2 linked regions of the Mus musculus genome follow. The protein of the gene in region 1 purifies or fractionates together with the protein of each later gene. This does not show direct contact. Links are inferred from orthologs where the notes say so. Each region holds a gene or a part of one and is shown in the gene's direction. Other genes may lie near its edges. The genes, in order: Taf5l and Atxn7l3.

Region 1 (3,800 bases):
ACTTGGTAATGTGTAAGAGTCTCCCAGGTGGTACTGGTTTTGAAGACATGAAGGCTCATGAAGAGCAGCTGAGGCCCGGCACTGTGAGAGGCCATGGAAGGCCATTGATGAAGGTGCAGCCTCAGTTGCCCAGGACTGAAGGGGTCATGCAAAGGATTTGAGGCTTGGCACCATGAAGAGAGCCTATGAGAGGCTATTGGTGAAGCCTAGTTGCAGTGCAAGACCCCAGCGTATTGGAGATGCCAGTACCATGGGATGATCACCAAGAACAGCAGTGGCACTGGAATGGATCAACCTGAGCTTAGAGTGCTACAGAGGGCAGAGCTGGACAAATGATGCCACCCCTTTGGAGGAGCCCAAGATGTCAAAGCCATGGGCTATCTACTGAGGAAAGCTGCTAACAGGGAGTGGAACCAGCCCAGGAGAAAGAAGTTTGTTGGACTCAACAAAGATGAAAAAGGGGTTGGAGATGTGGAAACTGCTTTGACATCAGACATGGAGATGTAGAGTTTGGAGTTTGCCTGGCTGGTTTTCTGTCTTGATTTGGGGATTTTAGTTAAGTGATTGGATGAATCTCAAAAGAGACTTTGCACTTTGGACATTGTTGAGACTGCTATAGACTATGGGGACTTTTGAAGTTGGACTAAATGTATTTTGCAGTATGCTATGTTTAGGTATGGCCCCATAGACTCATATGTTTGAGCAAGTCTACAGGGCCCTGGGAATGGCCTTGTTGTAGTAGGCGTGTCACTGTGGGTGTGGGCTTAAAAACCCTCACCCTAGCTGCCTGGAAGTCAGTCTTCCACTAGCAGCCTTCAGATGAAGCTGTAGATCTTTCAGCTCTGCCTGCACCATGCCTGTCTAGATGCTGCCATGCTTCCACCTTGATGATAATGGACTGAATCTCTGAAGCTGTAAGCCAGCCCCAATTAAATGTTGTCCTTTATAAGACTTGCCTTGGTCACAGTGTCTGTTCACAGCAGTAAGACGGGGCTAGATGTGGTTGCACCTTTAATCCCTGTACTTGAAGAAGGCAGATCTTTGAGTTTAAGGCCATGCCAGACTACAAATCAACCAACACTGTCTCAGAGAAAGGAGGACTGGTGGGATGCAGCTCACTGGTGCAGTGCTTCCTGGCTGTTCGAGGCTCTGGGTCCCATCCCTAGAGCCACAGGGAACTTCCCATTGCCAGGTTCTCAGCTCGTCGGCAGCTGCTTACCCAGGATCTGGGCTTCTCTGGCCTTTGTCTGATGCTCTGCCTCCTACTTTGCTGCACGTATTCTTATGCTGCTGGTACCAGCTCTCTAACAGAGCAGCAGAAGTGGCCTGAAATTCAAACTGGGCCTGCTTGCTGCATGCAAGCACTGATAGTCCATGTGCTGGTTGAATGAGTGTGTCTGAGTGATCTGTGGGTGTTACCCCTGCTGTTCTCCCCCAAAGAAGCTGGCTCCATGGCCTTTGGAAAAGTAGATAAAATGAAAGAGAATGTAGGTTTATAACCCAGACTGTGTCCTCACTGGGTCCCTTCAGTGTCTGTCTTAACAGCTTTGTGACACCTCTGCCATCCCTTACACCATGCTTTCTGTGTTCTTCTTAGGTCATGAAACGAGTGCGCACGGAGCAGGTTCAGGTGGCAGTGTCCTGCTACCTCAAACGCCGGCAGTACGTAGACTCAGAAGGCCCTTTGAAGCAAGGCCTGAGACTCTCACAGACCCCTGAGGAGATGGCAGCCAACCTCACAGGTATCAGGGTCCTATGGATGTCCCGGAACGGGAGCTGTCAGGGCCCACATGGGTTCTCAGCAAAGGGTAGGCTACCAAGCTTCAGTGAGCAGCTCTGAGGGGCACTGGCCTTTAGACCTTTCCTGTCCCTCAAAACTATCCTCACTGAACTTGTGGAGGCCCTGCTAGAGCCGTGTATCTTTCCTCAGAGAGTCCAGATTGTTTTCTGTCTTCCTGGTGGTAGGTGCAGCATTTTGTCCCCTATAAGACCCTGAGTGCCTTGAGCAGGGCCTCTGCTGGCACAGAACCTTGCTCCTGGGAGGGAGTCAGGCCTATACTGTGAACTCCCTCAGTTCTACTGTATTCACGAATATCCCTCCATCCACAATGTAGTAGCTACATATGACATTTTCTTCAGGTCACTAAAGATGACATCTGGAAGTCAAGGTCAGTACGACCTAAGTGGGTACCTGCTGCTGCAAGGAATTTGAGGGCGTCTTTCTCCGTTTGCAGAGCTTCAGTGTCTCTGGATGTCGTGTGAAAGTTTGCCTTAAAGTTACAGTAGAAATCAAGAGCAGAATGGTGTAGACTCTACACTGGGTTGTGCAGAAAGCTTAAGTTTCTTCTTTAGGAAGCAAACTCAGGCCAGATGTGATAGACATACTCCTATAATTCCAGCATAAGGAGACAGGAGAAGAGAGGATAAAGTCAGAGGGGGCATGCTTGCATGTTAAAGAGTGAGACCCCAGGCTGCTGCTCCTGCTAGCTTCCCGGAACATGCCATGCTAAGTGATACCCCACACTCCATCATCCCTGTGGTGCCCTGTTTCACATCCAGGCAATAGGCCTGGGGGAAATCCTTCTCTGATACCTGTCCATAACATAGCACCGAGATAAGAAAATGCTGCTCAGGGAGAAAAAAACATTTTGAGATATATATTTTTTTAGTGTGCATTATTTTAAAAAAAAATGGTGTTTTGCCTGCATGTATGTTTTCCCTCCTGTGTGAGGGTGCCAAATCACTTGGCACTAGGTTACATACAGTTGTGAGCTGTCATATTGGAAGGCATGGCCTCTCAGATTGACAAACCCAGGCCATAGCACATGTACCATGTTAACATGGGCTAGACATTTTCAGATAAATCTCAGGAATATTGCGTGCTTCTCTTCTCTTCTCTTCTCTTCTCTTCTCTTCTCTTCATCTCTCCTGCTTTGTAGCTATTCAATCTTCTGCCCTAGTATTATGGGGTATCAGAAAAGAGGGGAGACAAAGGGGTGTTAGCATCCTGTCCCAGTCTGTCAGGGTCCTAGAGACTACTGAGAGATGCCATTGTGCTCTGTGCTCTCCCTCTGTCCGTCCTGCTATGTGGTAGACAGTAACTGCCTTCCTGCCTCTGTGTCTTCTTCCTTTTAGTCCAATCAGAATCTGGTTGTGCCAATGCGGTGTCTGCAGCCCCATGCCAGGCAGAGCCCCAGCAGTATGAAGTGCAGTTTGGACGCCTGAGGAGCTTTCTCACCGGTGAGTCCTCCGAGAAGGCAGGTGATGGATTCTGTCACAAGCATAGTGTTTTAAAGTACCACCACACTTTTAACACAATGCTTCCATGCAAATGAAACTGTGAGACTTAGATCTTGAGGTTAACGTTTACAAGGATAGAGAACTCTGCCTGTCCTATTCTCTTTGCCTGTGGCTTTTGGCACCGTAATTTATGACTTCCTCTGACCAAGCCAGCTCAGTCAACGGGTTCTCCAGGGCAGGAGTGAGGATTAAAAAGAAAAAGACAATTAGACAACATTGTAGTATGACTCTAGCCAGGTCTGGGGCTGAGTCAGGTTTATTTTTTTCCAATTTGCTTTCATACCATTTTAATACCATCAAGTAATGTCAATTCTAGGTTGAAGAACAAGCAACAATACAATAAACACAAATAAGGAACAGGCGAGGCAATAAACAAAGTCCCGTGATCACTTTCTAAGGGCTTATTGGGAAGTCCAAGATATCTGAGCCTACTTCCCCGTCCTAGCCTAAAATCAGATTCCTCCCTGCACTTACTTCCTTGTCCTGGCCCAATGTCAAAT
Region 2 (4,503 bases), on another chromosome or scaffold:
AAGGAGTGGCTAGGCATAAACTTAATTGTTAAGTCTTTCCTATGAAATAGGTACTATCATTATGTCCTCTGGTAATGGACAAAAGAGGCGTAAGAAGGTCTTTTGCCTGGTCCACCAAGTTAAATTCAGAACTAACGTGTGGTCTTATCCGCTTCGAAATATCTACCAAGAACCTCCATACATGTTTGCTGAAGAGCGAAGAACCAAAGATGGTCTCAAAGTACGTGATTCCAGAGTTTAATTTTATCTGAAGCTAGAGGCCTGGCACGCAAAAGTCTCGAGGCTGTAGACACGGCCACGTACATGTGAGCGCAGATCTAAACACCTTGGGTGGCTGAGAAAAGGACCTTTCCTCCCGAAGCTAAAGAGGCGAGAGATGGAGGGTAAGGCCACTCCCAGCGGAGCAGCTTTTAGTGTAGGCAGAGTCTGGCCAGTGCTAAGCAGTCTGTCTGAGAGGTGGAGGGTCCAGCGTGGGCTCCGGAAGCAGGAAAGGCGAGCAGGTGTGGGATCTAAATTAGGATAAGGGCGGGAGCGCGCTCGACTCAGAAGGGCGCAGCTTGCACTCCGCAGTGAACCTTCTCCCTTGGGTTCTTTTCGGTTCGGAGGCCTGGGGTGGCTGGTGACCCACTCCGAAACCCAGAGAACGAATGCAGACCAGCCCCTTTTAAGGTTGTTCCTTCCTGAGCGCCTAACTGCACCCCATTTCAAGCCCAGACTCTTCACACAACTGACTGTATGCCTCGCGGTCAAAGTGGGGGAGCGACCGGGGAGCAGAGCAGGGAACCCCGCGGGAAGGGCGGGGATGCCTGGGCCGGAAGGCGTCCCAGGCTCGGCTGGGAGCCGGCGCTCTCTTTCGACGCCACCCCGTTGCCTCCGCCCCCGAGCCGGCCGGGACGGCACCAAGTCTCCGCCCCTGGCGCACCGCGCACCTCACCTTGAACGCTGCCCCACCCACCTCGAGCCTATTGGGCCTCCCGGGCCGAGGACACTCCGCGATTGGCCGGACTCGTCTACGGAGGCCCCACCCATCTCCCCGCCCCAGGTCCCGTCCGCCGGTACTTTGGACGGCGGCGTGGCGCCCCTCCTCCCCTCCCGGTCCCCGCCCCCTGGAGCAAATGCTGCCGAGCTGCGGCCGCGGGGCAGATGCACGCGCTCGGGCCCTTCTAGCAGGCGCGAGCAGTCGCTGGGCGCGCGAAAGCGAAAGGAGGAAGAGGAAGGGAGGGCGAGGGCGGGGTGTTGAGGAGGGGCGGGAGGAGGAAGAGGAGGAGGTTGGAGCGCGCTCGCGCCTGGCCTCGCGCCCGCGCCGAGGGAGGGGGGAGAGGGGCGCGCGCGCGCACGCTCGCGTCCTCGCTCGCTCCATCCATCCATCCTCCGGTCGCGGCACGCGCGCGCGCTCCGGGCTCGCGCCGCACCCCCCGCCCGGGAGAGGCGGGCTGGAGTGGGGGGCGGGGGGAGGGGCGCGCGGACGGCGCGCGGACTGCGCGCGGGCGGGGTGAGGTGAGGAGGAGGAGGCGGCGACGGGACGAGAAGGGAGGGGAAGGGGCCATGGCCGCCCGGTGAGGCGGCGAGGCGGGGGGGCAGCCCGACCCCCCGGCCCCGGGCCCCGGGCCCCGGGGAGAGGCGAGGACGGACCGACGGACATGGGGCTCCGGAGCAGCCGCCGTCGCCGCCGCCGCCGGAGGACGCGGCCCTGAGAGGCCGCCGGGCCCCGGCGCGGCCCCCCGGGCGGGGTGAGTACAGAACAGGGACGGGGGAGGGGCCTGCGGGGGGCGGGGGGCGGGGCCCGAGGCGGGGCTTGGGCCCCCTCCCCCCAGGTCTGGGTCAGCGCCCCTTCCCCTCCCCCAGGGCCGACGCGGAAACGCCCGGCTTTCCCCGGCTTCCCGGCCGGGCCGGGGCCCCCCGGTCTCCCCCTGGCTGGGTCCTCCTTGGGCGGGGCAGGGCCGGCCGGGGAGGGGGCGCGGGGCCTTTGTTAGGGAGCCAGGCCCCAGCCCCCGGGACAATAGAGACACCCTCCCGGAATCCTCTCCCCGGCCCGTCCGGGATCTGGGCAGGCGGCGACCTAGTGGGGTCGGGACGCGTCCCACTCTGCTTACTCTCTGGGGGTCGGTCTGTCCCGGCCCGCCGCCGGCCTATGGGCGGCTCGGCTCTCCTCCCCCCAGTCGGTATGATGCAGCAGCAGTGCCGCAAGGACGGGAGAAGAGCCGCGACACGGCCTGCTCCCCTTCCCAGTGCCCCTGGCTCATTTGTCAGTCCCCACCCCACTCGAGGCCGGCAGCTTCTTAAACTCGTACCCACTCTTCAGTGGGGCCCCGAACTGTGGGCACTGTTTCTGAATCCTACGGTGGGGTTTTTGGACTTTGGGGCTCTTGGAGAGACTTCCGGGCTGGTCCTGAGGGAGGGAGGGTGCGATCTAAAAGAACAGGTAAGGGGAGTGCCCACTCGCGTGCGTACCACGGGGCTCTCCTCTGCTCACGTTCTTGGTGGCTGGAAATGCCCTTTGCCTGTAGGCTTCTCTGGGCTCTGTTCCTCTCGTAGAGTGGCAGGCTTATTTTAAGAGAAGACAGAGTGGGGTGAAGGTTGTAGGGTGTTAGGGCCATTCCTACTTCTGGTAGCAGTACCCCCCCAAGTGGACATCCTGGCTGAAAGCAGAGGTGACTATGACAGCCCTTAGGGAAACGGGGGTTGTCTTGAGGAGTCTGTGCAGTTCTTTGCCACACCCTGTGGGTTTGCTTTGAGGCCTTAGAGTTCCTTCTCCTCCCCCTGCTGCATTGCACCATGGGTATCAAAGAGGGGTTTGAGTTTTGGGTACCTGGGATGAGCTGCTGCCTCCTATAGACCTAGAGTCTGATTGGCAAGGCAGTACAGTTCAGGGCCTGAGCTTAGGCCTGGGAAGGACTAGGCCACCTCTGGTTCTCAGGCCCTGAAGGACCATCTAGACCTAGTGAACGGGGCCTTGGGGAGGGAGACACACTGATGCCAGGATTAAGCCCTGGGCTTGGAGGTGGGGAGGGGAGGTGGCAGTCTCTGGAGGTGTCTTGGACTCACACCAACACCCCCACCTCCATGTGTGCAGCCGTGTTGCCGCCCGCTGTGCTATGAGCAGTCAGAGCGCCGTCTCCACAAGAGTTTACAAATGAAAATGGAGGAAATGTCTTTGTCTGGCCTGGATAACAGCAAACTAGAGGTGAGGGCTCCCCCACGTGTGCCTCCGGTTCTTTCTCTCAATGTCTCTGCGTCCGTCGCTAAATCTGGCATCTGTGCCAAAGGAGGAATTTGGGTAGTCAGCCTTGTTCCTTAGAGGGAATAATAACCAGCTGAAAGGTCCAAGGATCTGGGAGGAAGAAGGAACTCAAAAATCAAGGTCAGGAAAGTGGCAAAGAAAGCAGCATGCTTGGTCAGGGCCAGGAGATTTGGTTGGTGAGAGTTGTTCAGTCAAGGTGGGGTGCTCCCCTTGTGACCATGGATGCTGGTGTTCTCTTCCGGGGCCCAGGCCATCGCTCAGGAGATATATGCTGACCTGGTCGAGGATTCTTGTTTGGGATTCTGCTTTGAAGTACACCGGGCTGTTAAGTGTGGCTACTTCTTCCTGGATGATACGGATCCTGACAGCATGAAGGATTTTGGTGAGCCTCAGGGTGGAAGGGGAGTGGTCTAGCTCTGCCCAGGAAGGGCTTAGAGCAGTCCTTTAGAAACTGTCCTATTTGTAGAGCCTGGAGCTCCTGTGAGCTTAGGCAAGAATGGATTTAAAGAGAGCCTGGGACCATAGGTGAGGACAAGAAGTTAGGGTACCCTGCCCGCTCTGATCGCCACACCTCTCCTGTCCCCAGAGATCGTGGACCAGCCTGGGTTGGACATCTTTGGACAGGTTTTCAACCAGTGGAAGAGCAAGGAGTGTGTTTGCCCCAATTGCAGCCGCAGTATTGCTGCTTCCCGCTTTGCCCCCCACCTGGAGAAGTGCCTGGGAATGGGTCGCAACAGCAGCCGAATCGCCAACCGTCGGTGAGAACCTCATGCTTCCAGCACCAGTGATGCGCAACTTGTGCAATTGGTACCGAGGTGTAGTCTTATGGGGTCACTGGTAGGGTACAGAAGGGGGGGCCACTCTTGGTCCTCACGTGCTTCCCTATAAATTCATGTGCAGATGGGTGATATCCTTTAGCCTTGACATTTTTTCTTCTCAACTTTGGGCAGGATTGCCAATAGCAACAATATGAACAAGTCTGAGAGTGACCAAGAAGACAACGATGACATCAATGACAATGACTGGTCCTATGGCTCAGAGAAGAAAGGTGTTTTGGGGGTCTGGGGAAACCTGGGAGAAGCTGGGGTGAAGGAAATAGTAGTAGAGTATACATTTGCCATAAACTGTCTTGATGGGGGAAGAATGTAGTTTTCAAAAACATATAAATATTCTGAGAACAAGAGCGTAAAAGTAACTGTGTTTTTTGTCCTGTTGTCCCCCAGCCAAGAAGAGAAAATCAGACAAGGTGAGAGCTGGGGCGA

The links.
Region 2: the proteins of Taf5l (region 1) and Atxn7l3 purify together in Homo sapiens (affinity purification with mass spectrometry; 7 studies listed by BioGRID and IntAct, counting the BioPlex papers as one, with this or other methods). This does not show direct contact. The link is inferred for Mus musculus from reciprocal best matches to the Homo sapiens genes TAF5L and ATXN7L3.

Annotation. Positions count from the first base shown.
Region 1 is NC_000074.6:124,007,631-124,011,430, reverse strand, and holds part of Taf5l (TAF5-like RNA polymerase II p300/CBP-associated factor-associated factor 65 kDa subunit 5L), read left to right. Parts: intron 1-1,597; 5' UTR 1,598-1,600; coding exon 1,601-1,742; intron 1,743-3,135; coding exon 3,136-3,240; intron 3,241-3,800. UniProt on the Homo sapiens protein: Functions as a component of the PCAF complex. The PCAF complex is capable of efficiently acetylating histones in a nucleosomal context. The PCAF complex could be considered as the human version of the yeast SAGA complex.
Region 2 is NC_000077.6:102,293,630-102,298,132, reverse strand, and holds the start of Atxn7l3 (ataxin-7-like protein 3), read left to right. Parts: upstream 1-1,503; 5' UTR 1,504-1,730; exon of another isoform or gene 1,731-1,744; intron 1,745-1,778; exon of another isoform or gene 1,779-2,131; coding exon of another isoform or gene 2,132-2,422; exon of another isoform or gene 2,423-2,651; intron 2,652-3,073; coding exon of another isoform or gene 3,074-3,133; coding exon 3,134-3,184; intron 3,185-3,490; coding exon 3,491-3,623; intron 3,624-3,827; coding exon 3,828-3,999; intron 4,000-4,191; coding exon 4,192-4,289; intron 4,290-4,464; coding exon 4,465-4,487; intron 4,488-4,503. Other genes in the region: Gm33851 (cyclin-dependent kinase 13-like), read right to left, coding at 437-509, 956-1,368. UniProt on the Homo sapiens protein: Component of the transcription regulatory histone acetylation (HAT) complex SAGA, a multiprotein complex that activates transcription by remodeling chromatin and mediating histone acetylation and deubiquitination.